Linked DNA regions of Macaca fascicularis. The protein of the gene in region 1 interacts with the protein of each later gene in a biochemical or structural test. Links are inferred from orthologs where the notes say so. Each region holds a gene or a part of one and is shown in the gene's direction. Other genes may lie near its edges.

Region 1 (16,282 bases):
GCTGATCACCCCGAGGAATGGCGTGCCATATCAAGGGCTCAGTGTTGGTCTCTTCTGCTGACAGATTGGGTACTCGGCAGCAACCATAACCACGTCAGCCTTGGTAAGTGGATGTCCATGTTGCTGTGCCCAGGCATCACCTCCAGCACTGCCACCATGGCTACTTTGTTCATGAGCCTATTGGGTGATGACAAGGGTGGCTGCGGATAGAGGCTGAGTGGTGTCCACAGAACGGATCATCCTATCGACTTGATTATTAATCTCCTCTGCTGAGGTCACCCGTTGGTGAGCAGTCACAGGGGATACAAATATCTTCACAGTTTCTGACCACTTAAAAAGGTCCATGCACATATTTCTTCCCCAAATTTCTTTGTTCACCAATTTTGTAATCATGCTTCTTCCAAGTCCCTGATCATCCAGCCAAACCATTGGCTACAGCCCATGAATCTATGTAATGACACATCTAACCATTTCTCCTTCTAAGCAAATCATACAACCTGGTGCCCTGCTCAAGATTCTGCCCACTGAGAAGATGTTCTTTCACTGCTGTTCTTCAGGGATGTCCTAGAAAGGGGCTGTAGTGCTGCTTCTGTGCACTTTGCAGTGGTGCCTGCATATGGTGCAGAACCATCTGTGAACCAGGCCTTAGTCATCTGTTCCACTGTCAGGTGATCATAGGGACTCCCCATGAGGCCATCTGTGCAGGCTAGGGAAGAGAATGCAGGGTGGCAGGAGTGGAGATATGGGCATTTGAGCCACTTCCACTTGTAAATTACTTGTGCCTTCAGCACCTGCTGGAACCCAACCACATATATACCACTTCCATTTGATGCATGACCCACTTTATGGCTAAATAGGTCAGAAAGCACCCAGTTCATGATAGTCAGCTCAGGTCACATGGTGACTTGATGACCCACAGTCAAATGTTCAGTTTCCACCAAAGCCCAGTTAACAGACCAAGAGCTGTCTCTCAAAAGGGAGTAGTTACCTGCAAAAGATGGCAGTGCCTTGTTCCAAAATCCTAGAGGCCTCCACTGTGATTCACCTATGGGGTCCTGCCAAAGGCTCTAAAAGCATCCCTCTCTGCCCCTCACACCTCAGGCACCATTGAATCTGCTGAGTCATATGGCCCATGTGGCAGAACAGCTTGCCCAGTAGCCTGAACCTGTTGCAGAGCCTTTTCCTGTTCTAGATTGCACTCAGAACTGGCAGCCTTTCAGTACACTCGATAAATGGACTGGAGTAACATACCCAAATGAGGAATGTGTTGCCTCCAAAATCCAAATAGGTCCACTAGACGTTGTGCTTGTTTCTTGGTTGTAGGAAGGGCCAATTGCAGCAACTAGTCTTTGCCTTCACTGGAATGTGTTGACAGGCCCCACATCACTGGACCCCTAGAAATTTTACTGAGGTAGAAGGTCCCCAGATTTAGTCGGATTTATTTCCCATCCTCTGGCACACAAATGTCTCACCAATGAGTTCAGTATTTTTGCTGCTACTTGCTCACTTGATCCAATCAGAATAATGTCATCAATATAATGGACCAGTGTGATATCTTGCAGCAGCAAAAACTGATCAAGGTCTCTCTGAATAAGATTATGACACAAAGCTGGAGAGTTGATATACCCCTGAGGTAAGACAGTGAAGGTATATTGTCGTCTTTGCCCACTGAAGGCAAATTGCTTCTGGTGGTTCTTGTGGACAGGAATGGAGAAAAAGGATTTGCCAAGTCAATGGCTGCACTCCAGGTACTAGGAGATGTGCCAATTTTATCAAGGAATGAAACCGCATCTGATACAGCAGCTGCAATTAGAGTTACCACTTGATTAAGCTTATGATAATCCACTGCCATTCTTCAAGATCCATCTGTCTTCTGCATAGGCCAAATGGGAGAATTGAATGGGGACGTGGTGGCAAGCACCACTTCTGCATCTTTCAAGTCCTTGATGGTGGCACTGATCTCCTCAGTACCTCCAGGGATGGATAGTTTTTGATTTACTATTTTTTAGGGGCAGCTCTAATGGCTTCCAACTGACCTTTCCCACCATAGTTGCCCTCACCCTACCAGTCAAGGAGCCAATGTAGTGGTTCTGCCAGCTACTAAGTATGTTGATGCCGATTATGCATTTTGGCACTGGCGAAATGACCACAGGATGAATCCAGGGACCACTGGAACCACTGTAAGTGAGACCTGAGATAAAACTCCATTAATTATCTGACCTCCATAAGCCCCTACTTTAACTGGAGGACCACAATGATGCTTTGGGTCCCCTGGAATCAATGCTCAGAACCAGTGTCCAGTAGTGCCTGAAATGTCTGATCATTTGCCTCTCCCTAGTGCACAGTTACCCTGGTAAAAGGCCAGAGATCTCCTTGGGGAAGGGTGGGAGAAAGATTCACTGCATAAATTGTTGGGAATGTAGTGGGGGTCATTCCTCAAGGGCATCAGGCCTCCCCTTCATTCAAGGGGTTCTTGATCTGTAAACTGGCTCAAGTCTAGAAATTCACTGAGGGGTCGTCATTCTGTTTTTATTATTCAATTTAGTCTTTTGTCCATTTGACCTAGAAGCTTTCTGGTTGTATAAATTAAGTAGGAATGCAGTAGGCTTCCTATCAGTTTCACCTCTAGGAACACTGTGATTAATTAGCCAATGCCAGAGCTCTATCCAAGTCAGACTCTTCTGATTGCCACTTTGCCTCTGCTGTCCATTATGGTAGCTATACCCACCTTGTCTTTGACAGTTGAGTGCCGCCACTTGGCCCCTGCCACCTGGGGATCCAATTATTTCCATTATGTTTAAATTTTGTAGTTGAGTGACTGCGGTTCCCACTGTTAGATCTGACATACAGAGTCGAGCAATTAGAGGGCTCTTCAAAGATACAGGTGCTGCCCTCACAAATCTATTTCTCAAGGCATTGGTCAAGGGTATATCTTCTGGACCCTCCCAGCTGGGATGACTAGCTCTAAAGTGACTGATTCACCCTACCATCCCAATCTCCTTGGTCTTTGGATCCCTTCCTGTACATTAACCAAGAGAGATCAGTCATTTCCAGCTCACTCACCGTATGCCATCTTTTAATCCTTATTTCAACCAAGCAAATAACCTATTAGAACCTTTTCTTAACTCCCTGAGCTGCAACCTTAAATGCAGAGTCCCTACTTAGTGGGCCCAAATCAAGAAATTCAGCCTGATCCAACTTTGTTCCTTCCACCATAATCTCATACCCTTAATATTCATCCCCATGCCTGTTCTCCAGATTTCTGTGTATATGAATTAGAGAACTCAAAACAGTTCTCTTTGAGTGTAGCGTACATCCTCATGGGTCACACTCCCAGCCTCACCTCTAGGGGCCCACCAGTACTTTAGTCTAGTTATAGGTCCAGAAACAAAGAGAGGTGTTTGGAGTGGCTCCTGAGAAGAATCAACATTGGCTTGCCTGACAAATGCCTCAGGGGAAGTCATCACTGTTGCCTCACATAGCACAGGCTTTATTTCCTCAAAGTTGGAAAGACTGATGGCAACATGGGTCAGGAAGTGGACGTTGCCACTACTGGGAATGGGGAAGCTGTTCTTTCTGGCAGAAAAGCTTCATCGGAGTTTACAGACTCAGTGTCCCCAGCTTCATCTGGGTCCTTCCACGCACCCCCATTCCAAGTTTCAGGGTCCCATTCTTTTCCAGTCAATGCCCTCACTTTAACAGTAGACACCTGGCAAGACTGTGCATGTATCTTTCATTGCAGGTCAGACACTCGCATGATAAGAGCTTATGTCTGTTTTTCCACAACTTCAGCTCTTTCTCTACAGGAGATAAGACTCTTATTCAGGGCAATCTTAGCAGTTTTGAGCCTCAGTATCTTCTTTTGAAGCTGAGAGACAGAATCCCTGAGTTCATCATTTTCTTTCATCACCTTGTCCACTGCACTTAGGAACCAGCTTCATTATGTTCCTTGGTTCTCCACATATGGTCCAAGGTATGTATAGAGTCACTAAACTCCTAGCTTCTCACAAGCTGTGAATCAGGAGTGTCAAATGCATTTATTTTGCATAACTCTGTAAACAGTTCACACCAGGGACTATCAGTGTTCTCTATACTATTAGAAATAGAGTTTTTAACATTTTTAGGTCTAATCACATTAAGCAGCCAACTCCAGAAACCCCAAAACCAATGAAAGAACTCCATCCTTAATATTCTGTTCCTCTGGACCCCACTCCTGGTACCAAAATCTGAATTAGGGTTCTCTAGAGGTACAGAGCTAATAGAATATATATATTTGTGTGTGTGTGTGTATATATGTATATATACACATATATGTATCCTATATACAATATTCATATATATAAACTAATAGGATGTATGTATTTTATATATTATGTATGTATTAAACTAATAGGGTATATACATAAAATATATACTACATATAAACTAATAGTATATATCTACTTTATATCCTACTACTTTATATATACAGTGTATCTTTTAATTATATATAAATATTAAATATATGTAAAATGCATACTTTATAGTAAATGTTTATATATATAAAGGGGACTTTATTAAGTATTAATTTACACAATCAGAAGGTCCCACACTACTGGGCATGGTAGCTCACGCCTGTAATCCCAGCACTATGGGAGGCTGAGGCAGGCAGATCACTTGAGGTCAGGAGTTTGAGATGAGGCTGGCCAACATCATGAAACCTCATCCCTGCCAAAAATACAAAAATGGCTGGGCATGGTGGCACAAGCCTGTAATCTCAGCTACTCGGAAGGCTGAGGCAGGAGAGCCCAGGAGGCGGAGGATTGCAATGAGCCGAGATCACGCCACTGCCCTCAAGCCTGGGCAACAGAGCCAGACTCTGTCTCAGAAAAAAAAAAAAAAAAAGAAAAAGCAAGATCCCACAATAGGTTGTCTGCAAGCTGAGGAGCAAGGAAAGCCAGTCCAAGTCCCAAAACTGAAGAACTTGGAGGCCAGTGTTCCAGGGCAGGAAGCATCCAGCACAGGAAAAAGATGTAGACTGGGAGGCTAAGGCTCAGCCAGTCTCTCCTTTTCACGTTTTTCTGCCTGCTTTATATTTTCTGGCAGCTGATTAGATTGCGCCCACCAAATGAAGGGTGGATCTGCCTTCCCCAGTTCACAGACTCTAATGTTAGTATCTTTTGGCAACATCCTCACAGACCCACCCAGGGTTAACACTTTGTGTCCTTCAATCAAGTTGACACTCAGTTTTAACCATCACACATATGTAGTAGTTTTGCAAAATGTGATAGCAAGGAAAAATATAGCTGTTTAAAGAAACAGTAATGCTGTCATTAGAAAATAAACTGATTGGAGTCTCTGGATCATAGTTTGGCTTCAACTCTCTCAAGTTTACAAGAGCATTATCTGGGAAAATTAGTCAACAAGTTTGGAAATGAGTTCTGGGAAACTTGGCTCACTATCGTCCAGGCACCAGGCCAAACTATGGCATGGGCCAGGTACTGAATAAATGGCAGGAGTATGGTCAGGGCAGTAGGTAGCTCTGAATTTTCTATTTTTGTTTCCTTGGTGTATGTCACAGCAGTTTTCTGTGGGGTGAAATGAGTATCCTGAACCAAGGAGCTAGGCATGGAGAAAATGAGAGGAACTTCATTAGTACATGGCAAGGATGACTTATTCTGGCTTTCTGTCCTGGTTGAAAAGATGAGACTGCAGAGCTTTTTATGAAGATACTCCCAATTTGTCTATCTTTTGAGTCACACTGCTCCATTATGGCCATTTACCTTTTACATGCGGTACACAACCAGTGTTCTAGGATTTTTGTTCATAGTTCTCCTGGTAAGGATCCTTTTATTTCTCCCTGTGCTGGACCTCCTGTTGCTTGTGTCTCATATTTTTCTCTTTATTTTCTCACATATTAGTGGCACATATTCTCCAGTGACTATTGAGAGAAGGTTTGTGGTAGTTAGAATTTTTTTTTAGTGCTTGCACATAAGAAAGTTTTTTTATCCACAGGCTGGTTGATAGCTTGGCTGAATACGAATAGGACCTCTAAGTTAGAAATATCTTTCCTTTCAAATCTTGAAAACATTGCTTCACTGACTTCAAATATTTAATGTTTTCCACCAAATTTACAATAGAATTATTTTATCTTGTAATTTTTTTTTTTTTTTTTTGTAGGTGTTACAGTTCGAGTGCCTCAAACAACCACGTATGTTGTAAACAATGGACTAACCCTGGGATCCACAGGACCTCAGCTCACAGTGCATCACCGACCACCACAAGTGCATACTGTAAGTGTTGATGCTTGGTTTTGTAAAATTCTCAACTGTAAAGGTATAAAATATTATTGTAGTTGGCATTTTTCTTTAAAGTGGTTATATCCAAGGGAATTGTTAGGTCTTTCTGCTTTTTCAGAAGTTTATTTCTAAAAATTGATCTTAAACCATTATGAACAAATGTTCATAGGGATGATGATCATTTAGAATCATTGAGTTTGCTTGTGGTGTACAGTATACAAAAACAGGTCCACAGTTGGGGTATATGAAGTGAAATACAGACCATTTCTAATTCATAGTTAAATTAAAAAGGACGTTTTTCCATGTGTTAATTTTATTCTTTTGTTTTAAACTATGCCACGTCTAACTGCTACATTGTCATCAATTGTTTTAAAGAATCCAATGATATTGGGAATTCATTAGTTAAGAGGCAGCAGAGATAACCAAAGATTTCTCCTTAGATTTAGCCTCCAAAACAATGTCACATTATCCTGTGACACAATTTTGTCAGTGTTTGACTGGTATGAAATATCATCATAATGACGATGATGTTCCAGTGTTAGAAAAGTCAATAGGACTCCTAAAGTTAGAGTCACGTTTTTTTCATCATCTGGCCTTAACCTACCTTTCCAGATTTTTCTTCATGTACCCTATATCCAAGAAAAAGTTAATACTTGTTGTCCATACGTCCCCTCACTTTCCTGTCCACATGCCTTTGCTCATGCTTTATTTTTGGCTAAAAGGTACATGATTATTTCTGCATCTCTAGATCCTATCTTTCACAGTTCAGTTTAAATATCACCTTTTTTTTGTAAATTGGCCAAGAATATAGTACACATTCAGTGTTAATACGCTTATTTATAAGAATATGCTGTTGTCTTATATTGCAAAATAACTTAAAAATGAAAGTATAGTTGTATTCTCCAATTTTATATGATCTTGATTGCCATACATGATATTTTAAAATGTTATACTGAAGTGATAATCTGTAACATAGATAATTCAATCATAAATTATTTTGTTAGAAGTAGATCATTATTTCCGTGTTCCTCAAAATGATGTTCCATCAGCAGGGGCTTTTTATTTCCTAAGAAAAACTCAAAATATTTTAGGTCTAGGAAATAGAGCAGGAATAACCTCAGCATCATTGTTTGTGGCATCATTCATTACAAAACCCCAAATAGAACTTGCCAAATTTGATATGGTGTTTGGTATTTCCTAGAATTCTTGATGTAAAATGGTATCTCTATGTATGTTCTCTAAGGTGTTTTAATCCTAACATTCTAAAATGTTCTTTTTGCGATCATTATAAATCAGTGTGACTTGTTTTTTTAGGAGCCGCCACGCCCTGTGCACCCAGCACCCTTACCAGAAGCTCCACAACCACAGCGTGTGCCCCCAGAAGCTGCCAGCACATCTCTGCCTCAGAAGCCACACTTGAAGTTAGCACGAGTTCAGAGTCAAAATGGCATAGTACTGTCATGGAGTGTCCTGGAGGTGGATCGAAGCTGTGCCACTGTTGATAGCTACCATCTCTATGCTTACCATGAGGAACCTAGTGCCACCGTGCCCTCACAATGGAAAAAGATAGGGGAAGTCAAGGCACTTCCCTTGCCCATGGCATGTACTCTCACCCAGTTTGTATCTGGTAGCAAATACTACTTTGCAGTACGAGCCAAGGATATTTATGGACGTTTTGGGCCTTTCTGTGATCCTCAGTCAACAGATGTGATCTCTTCCACCCAGAGCAGTTAAACCTTGGAGCCTTTATATTTTCCTCTTTTAAAATTTCCACCTTTTGGTCTTGTTTTTAATCTTGTGCATGATACCCCATGTAAAATCCACCTTGTGCAAGATTTCTTGGACAGATGTGTGTATACACTACATTTGTTTATAAACAGAAGCAAAATAAACTCAGCCCACAAAGCTAGAATCTTTTCCTGGACAGTTTAGGCTTTGGGGTTTGGAAATGTAAATGTGTACCTTGCTTTAGTTTTGAGGCTGGGGAATATGTGTGGGTGTTTATGTGTGTTTTTCCCTATGTATGTGTTACTGCATTGGAGTCTCCCATTTTTATTCTCAAATTTACCTCTTAAAGTACGAAGTAGTAGATCAAAGGATCTGAGATGTGTAACTGGCATGACTCTGCTTTTAAAGGATCTGTAGGATCATTTTAGTTAAATGGTTTAAACAGAATCAAAACAAAACCCAAAGAAATGAATTAAAAACAAAATGGCTAAATAGTTTAAAATAGGTTGATTTGAACACAGGAAAGGATCTATTTGTTGTTTCTTTTGTCTGGTCTCCTAAGTTGTTAATTAGGTTAAAAAAGATCTGCAATGGCCCCCTCCCTTTCCTGATCTGGCTTTTACATTTATTTTGTGCCTTAAAGATTAACTACAAAAATAAACATGGCCAAAAATAAATAAATAAACATGGCCATATGTCCATGGTTGCTTACTCTTCCCTTGCAGCCTTTTTACCCTTGATTTCTTGCACACCTCCTCAAGTAATTTTTTTTTTTTTTTTTTTTTTTTTAGATGGAGTTTCGCTCTTGTTGCCCAGGCTGGAGTGCAGTGGCACAGTCTCAGCTCACTGCAACCTCCGCCTCCTCGGTTCAAGCAATTCTCCTGTCTCAGCCCGAGAGTAGCTGGGATTACAGGTGCCCGTCACCATGCCCGGCTAATTTTTGTATTTATAGTAGAGATGGGGTTTCACCATGTTGGCCAGGCTGGTCTCAAACTCCTGACCTTAGGTGATCCACCTGCCTCGGCCTCCCAAAGTGCTGGGATTACTGTTGTGAGCCACCGTGCCCAGCCTACTCAAGTGATTTTTAAACCAAGGTGTGTGTGTGTACATGGAGGTATTTGTACACACACGCACACATGCGCATGCACAGTCTCATCTTAGCCGGGCATGGTGATGGCATCACATTTAACTCCAAAAATTTGACGTGCTATTTTCTTCTAAAACTGTAGATGCTTTTATTTTTGGTCACTATTTAACTTTGTGTAAAGTGGACCAAGCGAAAACCATATTGTGGAAGAAAATTTTTCACATGTTTTAGTATCCGTGTTGCACACTGTGTTAGAGATTATGAAAATGATTCTAGTTCAGTTTATCACCCAAAGCTATCACCCAATACTAATTCCTTAGTATTCTTTCAAATGAAGCAAATAGAAAGATTCACAATATAGAATGAGCTAAAATATCAAGGAGAAAGTTTCATTTCCTCTTTATTCTCACAGCGTCCTTCCTGTTTTAACCTTTTAACTTTGTTTTGATGGTGCCAAGTTGAGTCTGATGTACCCATTGTTAGCTTTGGATAGAATTTAAAGTATATCCCAAAATTAGCCGGGCATGTTGGTGCATGCCTGTAACCCCAGCTGCTCAGGAGGCAAGGAGAATCGCTTGAACCCGGGAGGCGGAGGTTGCAATGAGCTGAGATTGCACCGTTGCACTTCAGCCTGGGAGACAAGAGCGAAACTCTGTCTCAAAAAAAAAGAATTTAAAGTATATTCTTTGAGGTCATTTTATGTAACAATTAGATATAACCTCCTGTGTATCTCTCTGTTCCTCTTCAAAGTTATTAAAATTCAGCTTAGGTCATGGATTTTTAATATGAGGGGCAGCTGTACTGGTTTCAGGTAGGTGTTTTGAGTGTAGATAGTTTAGGACTGGAGGGCTGGGTTAAGTTTTAGGAGTGAGAATGTACTTGAGAATATTTTGAAAGGAATTTATGAAGTTTGTGAAATAACTTACAAGTCCTCTTCCTTTGCAATATTTGAATTCCATTTTTCTACCTTCTCAAAATAGTCATTCATTTTTCCTAGAATTGCAGGAGGGAGCTCTCTCTTTTATTAATGTTGTTTGTTTGCAACTTTGATGGCTTATAACAGGAAGTTTTCTAGTTGTAAAGAAAACTCTTTAGAGACTTTTGACTGGTCAGTATACTATCATCTGAGGTGTAAGATTTGATTCATGATGAAGAAAGCCTATAGATTGCCAAAAAATTAATGCTCCAAATCTCCTTTCACTCTCAGAAAATGAGACCACAAAGGAGTATGCTATAAATCAAATTTGCCAACCAACTATGTAGATATTACTCATTCTAGGACTAATGATGATGGTAAAGAAGTTGCCATTGTTATGGCAACGAAAATTTTAAAAGGAAGGAGTCGGTGATCTTCTAGATGTATATGAACACCTGTCTATATCTGCATGTGTATGTTTTGACCTGCAGTGGTTGCAGTGTTGATTATGTGTTCAAGATTATTCCTGTCTACAAAATTGAAGGCCCTTGTTCAAATTGTTCTTTATTGGGTGTTTTTATGGTCACGTGGTTACAATTTTCTTACATAACCTACAAAAGGTTCTCTTGATGAACATTTTTATTTATATTTACTAATTTTTTTAAAAAAGCTTTCATAGCATTATTTAATCAAATGAAGAAAGCCCAGTAGAATTTAAAAAAAAAAATCATTATCCTAGCCTATATTATGGTTTCTGTCAAAGGAAAACAAATTCTCAAATAGCAGTTCTAAAAATAGATTTACCAAAGTAAAATAATTACTTAAAATGTTTTATTCCAGTTGGAAGGAAGGTACAGGGAGAGATCGCAATTATTTAGGGGAGAAGTATATTTATTATAAGATAGTATACTCAAATTAGCCTACCATGGCATGTAGGGGCAGCAGCTATATTAGATTTACTAGAGGTGCTAGGTTAGAACACTAGGTTTTTATTGAGGCAGGTTTTAATATTGATAGATGCTTTTTGTTTGGTTTGCTGCTTCTGGGAGAGAGAATGGAGGACTTAAGTAGTAAGTAGCTACTGATAACAGACTTTCTAGTAGCAGTTTCCACTCCGCGGTTAACTTTTTAGTTTCATAGTATCTTTTCACAAAGTATTACAAATAAGCTAGATTCTCCCATTTTGGGAATGCAAGTTTTACTACATTTTTAGCCTGGCAATATTTGTGTAGGTATTGCCTTATTGGAAATTCTGGAAACCTGATACTGCAACCTGCAATGTAGGATGTTTGTATGGCATTTAAAGATAACGGTGATGTTTATTATTCTATACTTTGCATTCTGTGAGAGTAATTTTCACTGTCTTAAATGTGAGTAAGCCTCTTGTTCTTGTCAAGAAATTTATAAATCACATACAAAGACATCTGTTGTTAACAGTTAATTTTATGAGGTAACTATATCCTTCTATTTCTCTGGATTCATTTTTTAAAAATATGCAGAATACTGCATACTGTTTAAGATAGTATATACATTTATGAGAGAAGTGGAGAGCTTTCTTCCTTGAAAAGTCGGTATTTGTGGAGATATCATTTGCCTCACAGAGAGATGTTCCCCACTCCCATCCCCATTGCCAGATAATAAATACTTTGAAAAAGTGACCTAAAACAGCTTAAATCTTAGGTGCATCTATCTGCAGACCTCCTTAAGTAGGCTGCGTCTTACAGTTCTCTTACTGCATTGGGTAAGTGTTAACTTTGTTGTTTGTTCTTTTGCTTTAAATATTCTCCAAATTACCATTTATGCAACAAGGTCAGGGTTAATACTGCATGGTATTCATTTATCTTGTTTCATGAACTTTCCAGTACTGTACAAGGTTAACAAAGTAATGCCTGTGGTATCCTCATCTCTCACTTTTTTACACTGTGATCTTAGCACAGTAAGGTACTGCAAAGACCTTCCTTCCAAATGTTCTCCCTGACTTTGCTTCTTGGGCCAATTCAGTATCCTCAACATCCTATGATTTTGTTGTTTTATCACTGACCTGTGGTTGGCCTGTTTTATCCTAATTTCCAGAAAAATCAAGTCCTAGTATTTGCAATATCAAATAACTGTCTAAAACCAATGTGTGATTCTACCTTCCTTATTATTTTTACTGGGCAAATGCCCTATTTTTTTTTTTTTTTTTTTAACTTTTGGGACACACAAATCAGCAATTCTCATGAAGCGTTTGTTGGAGTGGCAGACTTGTCTAATTCCTGAAACTCATTCATCCCCTTGAGCCAGCCAATGGGGAGGAATAGGATAATGCAAACACATGTTTTGTTTTCTCATTTTCAAATAATTTACCATGTTAAAATAAACTTTTCTTTGTTTTTTATTTGTAGAGTCAGCTAAGTACCCATATTTAAATGCTGTCTTTATCATTTTTTTGAGGTTTTTGTTTTTGTCTGTTTCTTTGTTTTGTTTTTGTAAATAAGGTAACTGGGCAATCAAACACCTTTTGGGGATTCTGGCTTTAGTATTTTATCAGCCATTTCAAAATTAAATATAAAAATCCTTTGTAAGTAACTTGCATCCTAATTTTTCTTTATTGCAGTTGAAAGTGTAAATAATAAGACAATATAAGTAAGACCTTCCTAATGTCTAATACAAACTGGGCTGTAGCAAGTGGCCCTATTTTTATTAGGGTTTTGAAGGTTTGTGTGTGTGTGTGTGTGTGTGTGTGTGTGTGCGCGCGCGCGTGTGTTTTTCTTTTTTAAATGTATAGTAGAGTGGTGTCTGTATAAGTGTTAACTGTAGTGGGGTTTTGTCCAGCAAGCCTGAAATTTATACTTTGAAATAAAACTACTGGGTTTTTAACATTCTGAGTACTCTGTTTAATTCTGGTTATTCACCCTTGTGGCTTTTTTCTTTCTTTTTTAAGAATCTTCCGCCTTGTTTAAAGTCACCCATTACATACTATGTGGTGTGGCTTATTTAACCTACTTCGCAATTCCATGGCACTCAGATCACATGTAACTCTCCAACTTTGAAAGAAAGTTGCTATGCAGGGTTGCTGCCAGCTTGTATAGGTGCTTTTGGCTTATAGGAGGCAACAGTAAGGTTTACTATATTGTATGCCTAACCTACACCACAAAAGGACTCAACTGATGCCTGTTAATGACCTGAAAAATCACTACAATCACTAACTACTACTAGAGGTTCCTTTGAAAACGAAGCTCCAGCGTCCCCTAGGGTTTTGTCATTAGGCATATTCATCCAGGGAAACAGGAAAGAGCATAGGAGGAGTACAGATTCTTATGGGCCGGGCATTTGTCTCAGGTTCCAGTGGCTAGAATTGTCATGTGGCACAACTATCTGAGGGACACTGGGAGATGTGGTCTGTGTGAGCAGGCATGAAAGGAGAATATGAATTCTGCTGAATGAAGGAGCAGTTTCTGCCATACCCTCTTGTGTATTAGCATGTATACTGAAGCTTAGTGTTATTTATATATATAACATTTCTTCTACAGTGCTCTACCTTATAGCAAGTGCTTGCTGTAAAAACAACAAAGTCAGTGGAAAACGAAAGTGACAAATGAATTTAATATATTTTATTGCATAATTCTGATGGGAAAAACATAGCTAAAATAGTGCCTTTGGTTTCTTATTTACAGCCTTCTAGTCTGTCATCTCCCTCCTTCATTTCATGTCACGTTTCAAAATTGGTTTCATGGTAATAAAATCAAAGTTGTAGACCTCTGGCATGCCCTGATGTAGAGTTTTGTTGAAACGGTTCCAGTGAAAAACAGGGAGGCCACCTTGTACTGTGGGGCCACTTATGGCATAGGATGTGTACTGAGATGCTAGGTAGATATCTGCCACCTGGAAAGAGAGAGGAGGAGGACATTTTAGAAAAATCATTTGGCAAAAAATTAAACCCATGACCTTTCCCACTCCCCCAACTACCAAAGTCATAATATGAGCTTTTTTTTTTTTTGAGACGGAGTTTCGCTCTTGTTGCCCAGGCAGGAGTGCAGTGGCACAATGTCGGCTCACTGCAACCTCTGCCTCCCAGGTTCAGCAGAGATGGGGTTTTGCCTTGTTGGTCAAGCTGGTCTCGAACTCCTGATCTCAGGTGATCCACCTGCCTCAGCCTCCCAAAGTGCTGGGATTACAGGCATGAGCCACTGCGCCAGGCTGCCTTCTTTAAAACAAAATTTTCTTGCCATTTTTCACACTGTCTTTGTATGATGTAGTCTTCTGTATACATTTGGCATCAAATGTCAATCAACTAGAAGTGTGTGAAATGAACAATGTAGCCAAAAGCAAGCTATGAAGTCAGATTACTCATTCAGAATTCTAGCTCCAAAGCTCATTTAAAGATCACTTAACCCCTCTATGAGTCAGTGTTCTCCTTTGTAAAAAGGGCTGATAACCCTACTTCATAGAGTTGGCATGAGGATTAATGCAAGCAATGCTCAAAGCAATGCCTAGAATAGATGAAGTCCTCAGAAAAAGTTGTTATTAATCAGGGTGGTAACGAGTCTTTTTTTTTTTTTTTTTTTTTTTGAGACGTTGTCTTGCTCTGTCGCCCAGGCTGGAGTGCAGTGGCCGCATCTCAGCTCACTGCAAGCTCCGCCTCCCGGGTCTATGCCATTCTCCTGCCTCAGCCTCCCGAGTAGCTGGGACTACAGGCGCCCGCCACCTCACCCGGCTAGTTTTTTGTATTTTTTAGTAGAGATGGGGTTTCACCGTATTTAGCCAGGCTGGTCTCGATCTCCTGACCTTGTGATCCGCCCGTCTCGGCCTCCCAAAGTGCTGGGATTACAGGCTTGAGCCACCGCGCCCGGCCTAACGAGTCTTAAAGTAGATGGAGCTCACTGTCAAAAATTGAGGGCCATGGTTCTCAAAAACACCTAACCACTGACTAGCAGTGGATCCTAATCTTAGAGGGGAAAGAGAATCTCTTCTGATTTTCCCCATAAAGAGAGAAATTATATTTTTAAAGAATATCCTTCAACAGAAACTTTTTGATAAAAACAATTGTAGGCCTCTGTCTCCAGAAGTGAGATTTGGTAGAGGGAAGCTTGGCTTGAGTTCTCCCAGGCAAGGCAGCACAGGTGATTTTCTTGGTGTATTCTGTGATAGATACAAACTTCACACATTTGACTGAATGTTTGCAAATACCATTTTAAAAAAGGAACACAAAAACATTCATAAGGGTTTCATCTGTGCCAGCTTCTCTACATCTACCTTTTTTTTTTTTTTAAATGTTAACATTGAGAATCATTACGGTTAAAAGCTTTGCCTTCATCACATAGCTAAAAAGAAGGTTGAGCTGGAACTCAAGATACTTTAAAGCATTTCCTGTTTAGGTATTAGGCTGATAGAGAATAATGTATAACTGGGGTCAGCATTCCTATAATTTTTGGAGCCAAAACCGAATACAGAGTTTACCCTGACGGGTTTCTTCCAGAATTTAGGACAGGTGGTGAAATGAAAAGACACACCCAAGCCAAGACTGCAAAAGGATGTAGTAGCATAATCTGCCAACCAAATGCCTCATACCCTCAGACATCCCAAATCCAGTGGTGAGCAGGTAAATTTTTAACAACCATCTTTCTGAGGAAAAAAGTTCCTGATTTCCATAATGTAAATACTTTCACTTGACTGGTTTCAAACTATCAACATGATGTCAACTAACAATTGGTTCCTGCCTGTCTATGAGCTGGCTTTAGCACACCACTGCAAACCTACTTATTACTTATATTTTGAGACACATTACAGCATTTATCAATTCTAACGTTGTGAAAAACCTGTGCTTTAGGCATCTTGTCCAAACTTGCTCCTTCGGCTAAATTCGATTCATGTTTAACATGGAATCACACTGCTTGAATAATATGTTCTTTGGACTTTGGGCCAGTCTGGTAAAACTTAAGACAACAATATCGTCATTATGGCTGTACACATTTACAAATAACTCAACACTGTTCTAAACATTTTACAGAGATGAAAGGCTTATTCTTCAGAACACCGTATGAGGTAAGTACTGTTATATCCGTTTTACAGATGAAGAAACAGAGACATGATGGAATTATGTGATTTACTACTAAATGGCAGAGCAGCGACTTGAAGTTAGATAATAGGACCTACCACCAGAATCTCTGAAAGAGCTGATTCCTGGGTTGAGTTTATGGTTAGAGCCATTACTGTGCTTCCTGCCTGTGCAACTTTGCCTTTGGAGAGGCCTGTGTACTGGTGGGAATTACATTCAAAAGCCAATAGCATGTT
Region 2 (16,282 bases), on another chromosome or scaffold:
TGCCCCGCAGCTCTCACCAGTGACGCCCTCAGAGTCCCTGCCAAGGCCCCGCCGGCCACTGCCCACCCAACAGCAGCCACAGCCATCACAGAAGTTAGGGCGCATCCGTGAAGATGAGGGAGCAGTGGCATCATCAGCAGTCAAGGAGCCTCCTGAGGCTACAGCCACGCCTGAGCCACTCTCAGATGAGGACCTACCTCTGGATCCTGACCTGTATCAGGACTTCTGTGCAGGGGCCTTTGATGACCACGGCCTGGTGAGCAGATAGGAGCATCCCCTGGTGGAAGGGTGGAGGTTACAGAAGCAGAGAGTATCCATAATGAGGAGACAGAGGGTATGGAAGGCTGATATGGGACATGAGTAGGTGGTGGGGTTGTCATGAGCGGGGCAGGTGGGTCAGTGCATGCCCTGCTTGCAGCCCTGGATGAGCGACACAGAAGAGTCCCCATTCCTGGACCCTGCGCTGCGGAAGAGGGCAGTGAAAGTGAAGCATGTGAAGCGTCGGGAGAAGAAGTCTGAGAAGAAGGTGATGGAGAGGGTAAAATGGATGTGGAAAGGCAGAGGGTGGGGTTGAGGGAGAGGCAGAGGTCAGAGGCTGAATGGGGCAAGAGCCAGAAAGGGCTAGAATGGAGCAGGAGTCTGGGGTTTGGGGCTGACTTTGACTCCACCCTGACCTGACCTGTCTTGCTTAACAGAAGGAGGAGCGATACAAGCGGCATCGGCAGAAGCAGAAGCACAAGGATAAATGGAAACACCCAGAGAGGGCTGATGCCAAGGACCCTGCGTCGCTGCCCCAGTGCCTGGGGCCCGGCTGTGTGCGCCCCGCCCAGCCCAGCTCCAAGTATTGCTCAGATGACTGTGGCATGAAGCTGGCAGCCAAGTGAGTCATTCCTGAGGGGTTCAAGGGAGTCAGGAAGTACATGGTAGGGCCTGACCACCGCCTTCTGTATGTCTACCAGTCAATCAGCTGTCCACCATTCAGTCACCAAACAGCCACTACCCACTCACCCATCCACCTATCCGCCCCGTGTCCATCCAGCCACCATTCCACCAGTCACCTGTTTATTTCTCCTTTTGCCATTTAGTCATGCATCTGTTTTCCCACCCTCACTGATCATCTCACTCATTCTGTTGCTTGCTACCTTCCCTGCAGCCGCATCTATGAGATCCTCCCCCAGCGCATCCAGCAGTGGCAGCAGAGCCCTTGCATTGCTGAAGAGCACGGCAAGAAGCTGCTGGAACGCATTCGCCGAGAGCAGCAGAGTGCCCGCACTCGCCTTCAGGAAATGGAACGCCGATTCCATGAGCTTGAGGCCATCATTCTGCGTGCCAAGCAGCAGGCTGTGCGCGAGGATGAGGAGGTGAGCAAGCAGGGGCGCAGCGGGGCAGGGCCGGTACTTTGTCCTTCCTAGCCTTATTGTTCCTTCCACCCCATGCAGAGCAACGAGGGTGACAGTGATGACACAGACCTGCAGATCTTCTGTGTTTCCTGTGGGCACCCCATCAACCCACGTGTTGCCTTGCGCCACATGGAGCGCTGCTATGCCAAGGTTGGGGGTCAGACTGAGGGGGCAGACCATGTGGGAACATCGGTGGGCCAGTGGGGGACAGATTTGTTGTCTGGGTGGTGTCCTGGGAGGGCATGCAGCGCACATCCACAGTTCCCTCCATTTGTGCTCATCCCTCCAGTATGAGAGCCAGACATCCTTTGGGTCCATGTACCCCACACGCATTGAAGGGTAAGTGAGGGTGCCACGCGAAGTGAGAGGTGGGGGGTTAAGGCGGAGGTCAGAAGTGGGATGTGTGTGGAACTGGGGCAGGATACGGGCAAGGACAGGTGGACCTCCCTTTACTACCCTCTCTTTATTCCAAACCCCCAGGGCCACACGACTCTTCTGTGATGTGTATAATCCTCAGAGCAAAACATACTGTAAGCGGCTCCAGGTGCTGTGCCCCGAGCACTCACGGGACCCCAAAGTAAGGTTTTCCCTCAGCTCCTCCCATTTTGCCCCTCCTCCCTGCCTCACTGTCCCACATTCATCCCTGCCTCCCTCACCTCACCTTTCCTTCACTTTTTCCTCTCACCTTCCCTGCTGCTTCACCCTCCATTCCTCCCTTTTCCATGCCTCCTCACCGTTCCCTGAACCCTCCATTCCTTCCCTTCTCCCTCCTTGAGCCCCCATTCTTACTCTCCCTTATCACCATTATTCATCCCTCCAACCCGGCCTCCCTGCAGGTGCCAGCTGACGAGGTATGCGGGTGCCCCCTTGTACGTGATGTCTTTGAGCTCACGGGTGACTTCTGCCGCCTGCCCAAACGCCAGTGCAATCGCCATTACTGCTGGGAGAAGCTGCGGCGTGCGGAAGTGGACTTGGAGCGCGTGCGTGTGGTAGGTTTCGCTGTGGTTTCATGGTGCATGTGGTAGGTTTCCATGCCGGACGTGGCCGAGGGCAGGCGGGGCTTCAGTTGTTCCTGCTTAGGACTCCTGCCGCTCTCTTGGCAGTGGTACAAGCTGGACGAGCTGTTTGAGCAGGAGCGCAATGTGCGCACAGCCATGACAAACCGCGCGGGATTGCTGGCCTTGATGCTGCACCAGACAATCCAGCACGATCCCCTCACTACCGACCTGCGCTCCAGTGCCGACCGCTGAGCCTTCTGGCCCGGACCCCTCACACCCTGCATTCCAGATGGGGGAGCTGCCCGGTGCCCATGTGTCCGTTCCTCCACTCATCTGTTTCTCTGGTTCTCCCTGTGCCCATCCACCGGTTGACCGCCCGTCTGCCTTTATCAGAGGGTCTGTCCCCGTCGACATGTTCAGTGCCTGGTGGGGCTGCGGAGTCCACTCATCCTTGCCTCCTCTCCCTGGGTTTTGTTAATAAAATTTTGAAGAAACCAAGGAAGCTGTGTCCACATTGCTGCGGTTGCAACTGTTCCAGACTCCTGGATAAGATGGGGGGCGCCTGCACCCCGGGAGGGCCCAGGGACCCACATTCCCAGCCTCCCACAGGCAGAGGGTCTACGCAGCACGTATTCAGTGTGGTGACACCGCCCACGCGTGCTCCTGTCTCCCACCCAGAGCTGTCCTCCACTGTGGACGCCAGGCCCCGCCTTTTCCCAACAAGCCCCACGTTGGGGATTCGCCTCCTGCAGGGGCGCGCCCTCCCGCGTGCCTCAGTTTACCTGCGGTGCGTCACCGCCCCTTTCCCCGCCCCGCGCGCTCCAGCACCTGTTCGGCGGGGAGGAGGGAGCGGGACACGACCGCCCTGGGGTTGATGTTCGGAGGGACCGGCGAGCACAGGATAGACCCCAGCGAGAGATGGGAGAAGAGAGCGCCGGCTGGGTCAGGGAGTGCGCAGGCGCGAAGCAGCTTCCTCGCCGCTGTGGGTATCCGCCTCGGAGACCGCGGGAGGGAAGGGAGGGCGCAGGCGCAAGCCCTCCCCGACGACTTCCCTTCAGTTTGAGACTGGAGAGCGCATGCGCAAGCTAGATGGTCAGCGAGCACAGCCCCGACTGCAGGTCCCTCCTTCGATGGGGCACGAGCTGTCGTTGAACGTCAGCACGCAGATGCAACTGGTTTTCGGCCGGGGGGCGCGCGCCCCGCTGCAGAGCGCCAGCCCGCAGGCGCGGGAGCCTCCCTATTAAGGGCACGCGACGTCGAGGCAATAGCGCGCAGGTGCTTAGCCAGAGGCGGAGCCCGAGAGGAAGGCAGCGGACTTCCGGTTCCGGGAGCAACGAACAGCCGCGGAGGCGACAGCTACCGCTTCAGAGGAGGCGGCCGCGGAGGAGGAAGAAGGGGAGGAGGGCGAGGCGGGAGGCGCAGGAGGGACCCTAGCCATGGGTCCACGGGCCTAGAGTGGCGGAAGATACCAGCCTGGTGCCAAACTGGTGAGACAGCCTTGGGGCTGGACGTGGAGAGTGCTCAGGCGGAGGATAGGAAGGAATTGTGGCTGAGAACGCTGACGGGGAGGAATCAAGGGCCCTCAGGCCGATGAGGGGGAGGAATGGCGGCGTCGGAATACTGACGAGGAGAAACAGGGGAATTTAGGCTGAGGACAGGAAGGAATGGAGCTCAGAACTCTGACAGGTAGGAGTGTCGGGATCCTGGGACGAGGACGGAGAGGAATGGTGGAGATCAGAACGCTAAAGGGAGACATCAGGGCATCTGAAGTTGAGAGAGAAATGGGGGTTCAGAACTCCGAGCGGGAGAAATGAGGGGCCCTCAGGCTGATGACAGGAGAAATGGAGGCGTTGGAATGCTGAAAGGGAGGAATGGGAGGCCCCATATAGAGGACGAGGAGCAGTAGGGGATCAGAACGCTGACAGTTAGGGATGGCATGATCCCAGGACAAGAACAGAGAATGGGGGAGGGTTCGGAATGCTGAGGGGAGAAATTAGGGTCTCTCAGGATAAGGGAGGAATGGAGAATGAGAACAGTGAGAGGGAGAAGTGGGGAACTTTTTGGATGTAGAGGAGAGAAACAGGAAGGTTTGGGGGCTGAGACTGGGGAGAAATTGTGGGCCAGAACATTGAAGGAGAAGAAAAGTAAGGGGGGAGCTCTTGGCTGAGGAAGGGGAGGCATGGGAGGCTTCCAGTGTGTGAGAAATGGAAAAGATGAGGGGCTGTTCGGGTCATGGGTTGGAGCAGTTGTGTCTCGCAGAGGAAGTCGAGGTTGTAACACTGAGGTAGCAAGATAAGAGGACATCAGGCAGAGACGGAATGGAATGGTTAAAACACTGAAGGAAGGAAATTAGGAACTCCTGGGTCGGGGAAGGGGGGAATGAGAGACTACTGAAGCCAAGTAGTGAGGGCAAGAGAAATGGGGCCCTTTGGGGCTGAGGATGGGAAGTATGGGGGTCTTGTGGTGATAAAATAGAGGGATAGAGGCCCTTAGGTCAGTGACAGGGAGGAATGAGGGGGGAAGATGAAAAGTTTCTGAATTGGCAGTGAGGAGAAATGATGGGCTGTCAGTCTGAGGATAGAGAGGAGTAGGGGATTAGGACACTAAGAATAATAAACAGGGATCCTTGGGTTGAGGAATGAGGATCTCCTAGGCCCAGAATAGGAAAGAATGGGGTGAGAATATGAGGGGTTTCTTCTCCATATATGGGCTGGTTGCCTGCGGCAGGTCCTAGGTCTTGGGCAAGCACTAATGGATACCAGTGATTTGTGTGGCCTGGGGCACATTTTGTCCCTTCCTAGAGCCTCAGTTTCCCTCATCCCCTCAACCCCCTTTCAGGCTACTGCTGCTTTCTGTGGCCTCCATGGCTGAGGACTGGCTGGACTGCCCGGCCCTGGGCCCTGGCTGGAAGCGCCGTGAAGTCTTTCGCAAGTCAGGGGCCACCTGTGGACGCTCAGACACCTATTACCAGAGGTACTGGGTGGGTTGTGGGCAGAGTGGGGGTGGGGTAGAGCCTCATTAGGGTAAAATCAAATAGTGCGGTTAAATTTATGGATGGAGTTTAAATTATGCACAAACAGTTAATCGTTATTAGCGGATTTTGTGTTTGCAATTTCACCTACTTAATACAGTATTTGTAACTTAAAAGTCACTACTCACAGTGCATTTGTGATTATTGAAGGACATGCACAGAGCAGTGAAAAACTGTCACTCAATGCATGTGTTTCTAGCTGAGACTGAAGGAGCCCTTTTTATTTCAGCTTTAATACCGTAAACAAGTGACCTTTTCGTGGTCTGTTTAGTGTCACATTTTTCTAATTTTTGTATGTTTTGTTGGTGATTTTGCTTTTTAAAATAGTCCTCAAGCGTAGTGCTGAGGTGCTGTTTAGTGTTCTGAGTGTGAGAAGGCCATGTCGTGCCTTACGGAGAAAATACAAGGCAGATAAACCTTGTTGGTTATCTGAGTTACAATGCTGTTGGCTGTAAGTTCAATGTTATGCATCAGAATTATGGTACAACCAGAAAAAGAAGGAAATTTGCCAATATGTGCACAAGGCTGCTTCAGAAAATACAGAAAGCATTTATAGTCTTGAAGCTATGGAAGAGATGAGAAAGCAGCTACGTTGGTGGATTCATGAAATGACGATCAATAAAGCATAGTGGACAGCATTGTTGAGGAAAGCCAAAGTCACGTTACCCTGGGTTAGGAAAATATTAAGGTTGTATCAGCTAGTGCTGGCTGACTTGCACATTTCAAAAGGCAACATGGCATGAAAAATGTTAAACTTGCATGCAATGCAGGTTCTCCCGATCAGGAGTCTTCCGAAGAGTTTTAAAAATACCTTTTAAGTGTTTTATAGGAAAGGGGTTGTGTAGAAGAGTGGTTTTCAATGCCAATGGGATTGGCTTGTTAAACAAAAATATTGGCAAACAAACCTACAGAACACATATGGCCTCCAAAGCCCCTGGTTTGAGTCATTCAAAGACCATGCAAATAATCATTTGTAAAAAATATATATTAAGTAATGTGTATTTAAACAGAAACACGCACAAAACAGAAATTCAGATGCTCTCAGGAACCTAACCCTGTATTTCCTCTAGGAGCAATGGTTTTGTATTCAATGTTCATGGCAACTTTGTAGAACATATCTACCATAACTAATGAGAATCAGCATAGATGTTTATAAGCATTTACATGTGTTTAGGCTACATTAATTATTATGTTTCTATATTCGTTCTGATTTTTTAAATCTAAGTTGCAGTTTTCCAGGTAAATATCAAATTACAAATTACTTTTTGTTTGTATTTAGTTATAATTTATTCACATATTTATGTACTCGTATAAAACTTTCAAAACTTAAAAGTGCAGTTGTCAGGAACTACAAAGGATCTGAGATTTCATTCTTAGGACAAGATAATAGTGAATTTGTCAGAATTTTGTAGATGTTGGTAGGAGAGGTAAGACTCCTGGGTTACAGGTCAAAGACAGTTTATTATAACAGTTGCAGGATCCAGAATAAGTCTCCCCCTTATCTGCAATTTCATTTTCCACAGCTTTAGTTACCTACAGTCAACCACCATCCAAAAATATTAAATGGAAAATTTTAGAAATAAACAATTCATTAGTTTTGAATTGTGTGCCGTTTTGAGTGGCGTGATGAAATCTCACACCATCCTGCTCAGTCCTGCTCAGGAGGTGAATCATCTCTTTGTCCATATCCATATCCATATCCATATCCATGTTCTATACATAACCTGCCTGTTAGTCGCTTAGTAACCATCTCAGTTATCAGGTAGAAAAAAACACAGTACATATTACATTAGGGTTTGGTACTATCCACGGTTTCAGGCATCCACTGGGGAACTTGGGATGTATACCCTGACGAGAGGGGGAATTACTGTATTACTATTTTTGTGCCAGTTTCCTGAATCCCAATTCCTACAGCATGACATGAAGAGGGTTGTATTATTATAGGAAAAGAACCCTGAGCTTAGAGAATCAAGTTTTTTTAATAACGTTAGGACACTAAGTATGCTTTCTTTTTACTATGGAAGGAGACCCTATCTCTTATCTTCCAAGGTTGTTTGCTTTACAAACATCCTTGGAAAGATAGTGTATCAAAAAGAATAATCGGTGTCTCTCTTGCAGGGCGTACAGAAATGCAAGAAACCGGGGGTCCCAAAATCAATTACTTATACTTTAATTTGTGTGTAGTTGTATTTGTTTGTGTGTTTTTAAAACATATTTGTGTTGTTTTCTTTGCTTGATTATATACTGGGTACATAATGCTAACTTATTTATTTATTTATTTATATTTTGAGACAGAGTCTCGCTCTGTCGCCCAGGCTGGAGTACAGTGGTGCAATCTCGGCTCACTGCAAACTCCGCCTCCCGGGTTCAAGCCATTCTCCTGCCTCAGCCTCCCGAGTAGCTGGGACTACAGGCACTCGCCGCCATGCGTGGCTAATTTTTTTTTGTATTTTTAGTAGAGATGGGGTTTCACCATGTTAGCCAGGATGTTCTTGATCTCCTGACCTCGTGATCCGCCCGCCTTGGCCTCCCAAGGTGCTGGGATTACAAGTGTGAGCCATCGCACCTGGCCAGTGCTAACATATTTATATGTTATTTAATATATTTGTGTTTCTATTTGTGTCTATTTTTACTTACGTGAAATAGTTGCAGTATTACTAGTATTATATGTCATAAATATATGTCTGTTTACATTTGTATTGTTTCTGATGTTTGTATTTGTGTTGGTATTTATATTAATTTTTTATGTTTTCAAGGTTAGTTGAGGTGGGGCTGGGCAGGGCTCACAGGCCAATTCCAGGCTGCCTCCTGTATCCTGCCAGCCCTGTCGGAAGGTTGTGTGGGTGAAATGACATTGGCTCCACCTGGGTGCTAACCCATCATGGCCCATCCCTAGCCCCACAGGAGACAGGATCCGAAGCAAAGTTGAGCTGACTCGATACCTGGGCCCTGCGTGTGATCTCACCCTCTTCGACTTCAAACAAGGCATCTTGTGCTATCCAGCCCCCAAGGTACTTCACAATGTGAGATGCCTAGGTAGGGGTGGCTGTGCCACTCAGCACCCACCCACTGACCCATATGCCTCCTTCCCTTACTTTCCAGGCCCATCCTGTGGCTGTTGCCAGCAAGAAGCGAAAGAAGCCTTCAAAGCCAGCCAAGACTCGGAAACGTCAGGTTGGACCCCAGAGTGGTGAGGTCAGGAAGGAGGCCCCAAGGGACGAGACCAAGGCTGACACTGACACAGCCCCAGCTTCATTCCCTGCTCCTGGGTGAGTGTTGGTTTGAGGTGAGCCAGATGGGTGAGGGTTGTGATTGGGGGTGCTCTTGGAGCCCCTCACCTGCCTTTCCCATCCCAGATGCTGTGAGAACTGTGGAATCAGCTTCTCAGGGGATGGCACCCAAAGGCAGCGGCTCAAAACATTGTGCAAAGACTGTCGAGGTGAGTGACCCCCAGAGGATGGGGCATCGGGAGATAGGAGCTGGAGCAGGTTCAGTGTCATGCTAGGCTGGGGGTTGAATGTAGATGTCAGGACAGAGGCTACTGGCATGGTTGGAGGTTGGATACTGGAGATAGCAGGCATGGGTAGAGGTTGAATAGTGGAAGTCAGGGCACAGGCAGTGAGTGAATCAGTCAGATGTCTGTTGCTTTCTTTCCACTTTTCTTCTTCTCTCTTCCTCCCCACAGCACAGAGAATTGCCTTCAACCGAGAACAGAGAATGTTTAAGGTAAGCACAACCTGCTTTCTCTTCACACCTCTGCAGTGGGAGCAGGATGTGATTGAGCTGGTAGAGTCCTAAGGGATGATGATAGGTCCACAGGATGAAGTCATTTTATAGGGTGCTCTCCATAGGTCAGCAAACACAGTAATGAGAATCAATGGGTTAATTAATTCCCGTTACCATTAGTGCGTCAGTAGACACAGTGATGAAGTTAGCAAGGGACCAGTAGACATACTAATGGCCTCAGTGATGAGGCTTATGGGCGACTAGAAGTCCCGGTGATGGGAGCTGATGTAGGGTCAGTAGACATGGGAGGACCAGTGCTTCTGGAGCAGGCCCGTGATCTCGTCCCTACCATTCCTGGCAGCGTGTGGGCTGTGGGGAGTGTGCAGCCTGCCAGGTAACAGAAGACTGTGGGGCCTGCTCCACGTGCCTCCTGCAGCTGCCCCATGATGTGGCATCGGGGCTGTTCTGCAAGTGTGAACGGAGACGCTGCCTCCGGATTGTGGAAAGGGTGAGTTGGGCAAGTGGAAAGAGCCCAAGGCTCACCTCGGCCCCTGGCCCTCGTGGGCTTGGCCCCATGCTTCATGCCTCTGCTCCCACATCCCCTCCAACAGAGCCGAGGGTGTGGAGTATGCCGGGGCTGTCAGACCCAAGAGGACTGTGGCCGTTGTCCCATCTGCCTTCGCCCTCCCCGCCCTGGTCTCAGGCGCCAGTGGAAATGTGTCCAGCGACGTTGCCTACGGGTGAGTCGGGCTGGAGGGAGCAGAGCTCACTCTGCTGTTAAAATCGTGGCTGCCTCTGCTTCCTTTCAACCTGGCCTTGCCTACCTTATGTCTTTCTTTTCTGCCTAACCCCACGCTCACCTTTCTGGCCCCGTCTGCCTGCCCCTGTCTGCCAGCACCTTGCTCACCGCCTGCGTCGCCGTCATCAGAGATGTCAGCGACGCACTCCCCTGGCTGTGGCTCCCCCAACTGTGAGTGCCTCATGCCACCCTCTGTCTGCCTGTCCCATGCATGCTTTCTGCACTTAGGGAGTGGGGAGTTCCTGTGTCTGCCTGGTGCCACCAAGCTGAAACCACCCTTTCTGGTCTTTCCCAGGGTAAACATGCCCGCCGCAAGGGAGGCTGTGACTCCAAGATGGCTGCCAGGAGGCGCCCCGGAGCCCAGCCACTGCCTCCACCTTCCCCATCACAGTCCCCAGAGCCCACAGAGCCGGTGAGGCCCCAGTGGGTGGAGGGAAGGCACAACCCTGACCTTACCCAGTACCTGCCCTGACCCCACCCCATTTGCCTCTACAGCACCCCAGAGCCCTGGCCCCCTCGCCACCTGCCGAATTCATCTATTACTGTGTAGACGAGGACGAGCTAGTGAGTGGCCCTACCCTACCTGGATAAGCCTAGACTCTCAGGACGCTTGGTTAACTTCAAAGAAGCAGATGCTGGAATGAGCCTATTGGGGAACAGCAAGGCACAATAATGGGTCCTAGGATGGGATGAGTAGATAATGGAGGACTAATACAGGGTCAGCAGGTGCAATGACAGTGCCTCATGTCACATGTATCAACACTCTGGTGGCTGATGCAGGACTAATCGACACAGTGATGGGATTGACAGAGGAGCAGCTAGCACAATGACTGGGGTTCACACAGGATGAGCAGACAGAGTAGGCACAGTGATGGGAGCTAATAGAGAGTTATCAAAATGTTGCTGGAAATGGGGGTTAGAGACATTTTCTTGGTAGCCAGTGGTGGCCTAGGAAATACAGCACTGGATATTGTAGTGGAGCAGCCACAGTCCTAATGGTATCGAGGGCCAGCTGGCACAGCGATAGTGGCCAATGTTGAACTAGCAAGTGCTGAGGAGTGACTAGCTGGGAGTCAGGAGGCTGAGACTAGTATGCAAGTAGCTCCTTCTTATGGGGCTAGAGGAGCACCAGGACCAGCACTGGAATAGGCGTTGAGGATGGCCTCTCCTAGTCCTAGTTGACAGCACCACCCATTCCCCCCACCCCAGCAGCCCTACACGAACCGCCGGCAGAACCGCAAGTGCGGGGCCTGTGCAGCCTGCCTACGGCGGATGGACTGTGGCCGCTGCGACTTCTGCTGCGACAAGCCCAAATTCGGGGGCAGCAACCAGAAGCGCCAGAAGTGTCGTTGGCGCCAATGCCTGCAGTTTGCCATGGTGGGTGGGGCAGGAAGGGTCAGGTGGCCGGGATAGGTTGGGCCAGGCGCCCCAGTGCCTGGGAGTGGTGGGCAGGCTTGGTAGGTGGGTGGGTGGCGCAGTAGCTTTGGTTGAGGATTAACAGACATTGTGCTTGGCTTAATGAGTCTAGGTGGCATTGGTGTTGCTAATAGGAGACTAGCAGGCTCAATGACGAAGGGCTCATACGTAAGCAGATTCCATGCTGGGACCGATGGGAGATTAGCAGGCATGTGGAGCCGGGCAGGGTGGATGTGACTGGTCAGGACACCAGGTAGCCATAGCACCCTATCTTTCCTCATAGAAGCGGCTGCTGCCCAGTGTCTGGTCAGAGTCTGAGGATGGGGCAGGATCGCCCCCACCTTACCATCGTCGAAAGAGGCCCAGCTCTGCCCGACGTCACCATCTTGGGCCTACCTTGAAGCCCACCTTGGCTACACGCACAGCCCAACCAGACCATACCCAGGCTCCAACGAAGCAGGAAGCAGGTGGTGGCTTTGTGCTGCCTCCGCCTGGCACTGACCTTGTGTTTTTACGGGAGGGCGCAAGCAGTCCTGTGCAGGTGCCAGGCCCTGTTGCAGCTTCCACAGAAGCCCTGTTGCAGGTGAGGGCCCCACCCTGTCCTTCCCTTCCCAGCCCCACCCAGCCTCATGCCAGGGAGCTGAGACCAAGTCTGCTGCAATCCTCCCTCACGCAGGAGGCCCAGTGCTCTGGCCTGAGTTGGGTTGTGGCCTTACCCCAGGTGAAGCAAGAGAAGGCGGATACCCAGGACGAGTGGACACCAGGCACAGCTGTCCTGACTTCTCCCGTATTGGTGCCTGGCTGCCCTAGCAAGGTGGGGGCAGTGATGGATGTTCTGTTGATGCCGTAGCAGGCTGGTCTGTAAGCAGAGTGATGATGAGCCATGATGGTTCTCTTAAGCAGAGCAATAGATGTGCTGATTGCAACCTTTCTGCAGAATTACCCCGCCTGTCTAACAGACACCCTACCTCCCGCAGGCAATTAGCTTTGCCCGCTTTGCTGTCCAGCTAACAGAAAAACGGAGGTCAGTGAGGAATGGGAATGGGAAAGGTTTATAGGCAGAGATGGCCTTTCTGTGTTGAAATGTGATGGAAGGTAGGATTTGTCAGCACAGCGAGGGGTTGGCTGATAGAGACTTTCCTCGGGCTAACTCTGCCCTTCTAATGGCTGCCTGTTTCCTACTTCTCCCAGGCAGTAGACCCAGGCCTGCCATCTGTGAAGCAAGAGCCACCTGACCCTGAGGAGGACAAGGAGGAGAACAAGGATGACTCTGCCTCCAAATTGGCCCCAGAAGAAGAGGCAGGAGGGGCTGGCACACCCGTGGTCAGTGCTGGGGATGCCCCACCCTGCCCTGACCCTGCCATAGCCCCAACAACCACATTGACCTATGGTGTTAATTCTTCTCTAGATCACGGAGATTTTCAGCCTGGGTGGAACCCGCTTCAGAGATACAGCGGTCTGGTTGCCAAGGTGTGCCCCACACAGTGAGGGGTGGGGAAGGAGGGGGTGTTGGCCAGATGTGGGCCCTGAGTTTTGAAAGTATAGCCAGCAGTTTGGCATGGTGTGGTGGGAGGTAAAGGCCCATACCCACTATGCTGATCACAATTAATGAGGGGCATGTGTGTAGGACCATAGAGATTTCTCCGGAGATCCAGCCCAATAGCATTCCAGGTTAGGACTCTCCTTTGGGGGTAGGGGGAAGACTTGACACTCTATCATGAAATTTGAAAGAAAAAGATAGGGAGTCTGGTCCCTATTTTGCTAAGAAATATCTATAAGGGTCAGCTTTAATATATAAATTCTTGTTCAGAGAATAATCATTTGGAGTCTTGAAGGCCTTTGGAGTCTCCAGGAGACTTCTGGGTGGGCTGTTGCCTGACATTGAGCAATGTATATCAGAGAAATGGTGCTGGGCTTGCCTGGGCAGTGGGATGGGCAGGAGATCTGGGTTCCGAGCTGGCTTTGTGAGCCGGGTTCACACGTAGTTGCGTGATCTCTGGTTGCCCTGTACTTCCTGGAGCTGCCTCTGTGGAGGGGCTTGGGCTGGATCTCTTGAGCCTTTCCTGAGCCTATTGAGGTTATTAACTTCAGATGCCATGCAGAACTGTCCCTATAGTCCTGGCATAGGACAAAGGGTAGATGCCTGTAAGGACTAGAATGGTTGGGAGGGCAGGGGAACGCTGACTCCTATAGAATGTTGACAGACCCTGCATAGAGCCCCAGACACTGGCAATGTAAACTATTGGCCAAGCACGTGGATTCCTTTGCTCCTACAAACTAGCCCACCAGGCTGGAAACCCTTTCATCTATGCTTGGCCAATTACAGAAGTCTTGATTGAGTTCCTGCTGGGTGCACAGCATTGAGGACAATGAGCCCTGCAAAGCTTATATCCTGTGTCAGGAGACACAGGATACCTACCTTCAGGGAGCTTATTATCTGACTATGGACAAGCTGTCTATAATGGTAGTTTTTAGAAGATATAAAAAAAGATAAAGGTATAATTAAGGGGAAGTGGATGGAGGACACAGAATACTAGGAAATGGTTTTGTAATGCTCCATTTCGCATATAGCAAACCTCATTCAACATACAGACCTGCTCCCTCTTCCCTAGGTCCAAAGACCTTAAAAAACCTGGAGCTAGAAAGCAGTAGACTGGAGGCTTCTACAGACTGTAGGATTCAAGGTGATATTTGCAGACTGGCTTTATGAGAGACAACACTGATCTACTAGGGGCTGGACCCTAGATTGGTTGCCAGGGCTTGTGTGTGAATCAACCCTAGGAGGAAAAACCTACCACGAAACCAGAGGAGCAGGCCTAACAGTACTTTGAGCTTCTAGAAGAAGTAAGCGGGAAAGGAAGAGAAAGAGTAGAAAGTTGGTGCATCTTCTCCTCCCCAAGAGCCTGAGTATAAGAAGTTGGATTTTAAGGGTGGGGGAGCTGGGATGGGGAAAGGTAATATAATTAAAACCACCACAAAACAACCTAAACAAGCCATGTTCATGAATAATTGTAAGTGGCTTCTGGATGAGACCTGGCAGTGTCTCTACATACTTCCTCAGGGAGACAGCAATTGAAAATGTAATTGAATAAATAAGGAAAGGAACTGCTATTTGGTGTGTTCCTCTGTGGACCCAGTTTATTTAATCCTTAGAATAATCTTTTTGGGAAGACATTGATTTTGCCCATTTTTGTGAATGGGAAAACTGAGACTCATTAATTTGTCCAATGTCGAACAGCTGGTGTTAGTAGAGCCTAGAATGAAACCCAGCTTTTAAAGCCCTTGTTCTTTAAGCCACTAAACTGTAACCTGTAATCCTGTATGCACTAATAGGAGTTTTTGGTGACCTTCAAAACACAGATTACTATAAGTACTATAATAAATCCCTTACATTCCTGTCTCTAGCATGGTTTAGAAAGTGCCAAGACTCGATGTAGATGGGGTCACCTTGTCAGAACATCTGTTCATACAGAAACTGGGTTTCCTGCAGACCCCAGGTGCTGCATAGGATTCCTCAAACCCTACAGGATATATCTCCCCACTGGCTGCTGTCCATTTTGCTTGTTACCCTGACTCCCCCTCTTCAGCTAGAGCAGTCTTTGTAACTAAAGCTGCCAGCCTGGCTCATCTTTCCTGACAACGTGCATCTCCTGCCCTCTGATGACCTTTGTGCTTGGCTCCTGCCCTCAGCCCAAATGTCTTCTAGGAGGCTGAATTCCTGCTTCGAGTCCTGCCCAAGGGCCAGTCTTGGCTCAGCCCTACCTCACTCTTTCCAATTCTTCATTCATAAAGTGCCAAAAAGATTAGACCTGTAATTTGTTAGCCAGCTTTACAGGGCCAGGACTGAGTGAGTGCCTCCTTAAACTTTGTATCCTACGTGCCTCCCTTGCCTTACCCTAGTCCCAGCCCTGCAGCTTTAAGTAATTCAGACATGGATGAGCCATTTCCCAGTTCTATCATACAGTCCAGCCTCTGCCACCTTCGCCACCCCTTCCTTTATTCCACCCTAACTAGTTCAGCCCTAGTCAAGACTGGATAGACTGATACTGCTTTGTTTCCCCCAGGAACCAACCACCCAACCCCAGTATTCTGGTAATTTTGACAATGAACTATATGAAATTTATTTGATTGACATTTAGACTCATGAGTTAAGCTTCTGCCTACCATGTATGTTAGGGTACAATCAGAAGAGCAGAACCACTAAGATAAAGATTATGTATATATGTACTTTAAGGGATTTATTATAGAGATCTGACCGCATGCCATTGTGGGAGCTGGTTAAACAGTCTCTGTAAGGCTGTTATCTTTGCATCTAATGCTGGAGCTTGAAGTCTGCAGGGCAGGCACTCGGGAAGGGAAGATGGATGTAAACTGTGGGAGACCGAGGACACAGTGGAGCCCACGAGCACGAGCTGGAACCCACGAGGATGGCCTGGAACCCATGTCAGTCTCTCACCACCTCCAGCTTCGATGATGTGGGTGTCCTGCAGAAGAAGCTGGTGCCCTTCCTCACAGAGTTAAATATGCATCTGGCCCAGGAATTAGAGAAGCTGAAGAGATGATCCTGGGGAAGGTGGAGCAGCTGCAGGCCTGGCTGCTGCCCACACCAACGAGGTGATCCAGCAGATACATGACAATGTGTGAACTGCAACAGCGCCTGGTGCCCCAGCACCAGCCTTCCAAGTGTAAAAACAATATGCTGCTGCTTCACTTCTGCCCTCCAGTTATCAAGCAAAATGTCTCTTGTGGCCCATCTTACTGGAAGAGAGTTCTGGGAAACAGCCTCACCAAGGTGACACATTACAAAGCCGCCCTACCATGAATCCGCTCCCAAGGGTCTCACTACTCACCTGAGGATAACTCAATATAACCATGTTGCTGAAAATGCAAAGCTGAAGACCATGAATTTCAT

The links.
Region 2: the proteins of ATF7IP (region 1) and methyl-CpG-binding domain protein 1 form a complex in vitro, tested with the Homo sapiens proteins (2 studies listed by BioGRID). The link is inferred for Macaca fascicularis from reciprocal best matches to the Homo sapiens genes ATF7IP and MBD1.

Annotation. Positions count from the first base shown.
Region 1 is NC_088385.1:17,277,788-17,294,069, forward strand, and holds the end of ATF7IP (activating transcription factor 7-interacting protein 1), read left to right. Parts: intron 1-6,159; coding exon 6,160-6,272; intron 6,273-7,592; coding exon 7,593-8,012; 3' UTR 8,013-12,873; downstream 12,874-16,282. Other genes in the region: PLBD1 (phospholipase B-like 1), read right to left, coding at 13,691-13,873. UniProt on the Homo sapiens protein: Recruiter that couples transcriptional factors to general transcription apparatus and thereby modulates transcription regulation and chromatin formation. Can both act as an activator or a repressor depending on the context.
Region 2 is NC_088392.1:39,458,715-39,474,996, forward strand, and holds the start of methyl-CpG-binding domain protein 1, read left to right. Parts: upstream 1-3,764; 5' UTR 3,765-3,885; intron 3,886-5,236; 5' UTR 5,237-5,261; coding exon 5,262-5,371; intron 5,372-8,325; coding exon 8,326-8,440; intron 8,441-8,531; coding exon 8,532-8,698; intron 8,699-8,785; coding exon 8,786-8,868; intron 8,869-9,114; coding exon 9,115-9,155; intron 9,156-9,516; coding exon 9,517-9,663; intron 9,664-9,766; coding exon 9,767-9,895; intron 9,896-10,050; coding exon 10,051-10,125; intron 10,126-10,249; coding exon 10,250-10,366; intron 10,367-10,449; coding exon 10,450-10,518; intron 10,519-11,163; coding exon 11,164-11,331; intron 11,332-11,653; coding exon 11,654-11,953; intron 11,954-12,046; coding exon 12,047-12,184; intron 12,185-12,561; coding exon 12,562-12,693; intron 12,694-12,778; coding exon 12,779-12,840; intron 12,841-13,982; coding exon of another isoform or gene 13,983-14,022; exon of another isoform or gene 14,023-15,701; coding exon 15,702-15,891; 3' UTR 15,892-16,282. Other genes in the region: CXXC1 (CXXC-type zinc finger protein 1), read left to right, coding at 11-256, 419-538, 696-880, 1,154-1,361, 1,440-1,550, 1,690-1,739, 1,881-1,977, 2,237-2,389 and 1 more. UniProt on the Homo sapiens protein: Transcriptional repressor that binds CpG islands in promoters where the DNA is methylated at position 5 of cytosine within CpG dinucleotides. Binding is abolished by the presence of 7-mG that is produced by DNA damage by methylmethanesulfonate (MMS).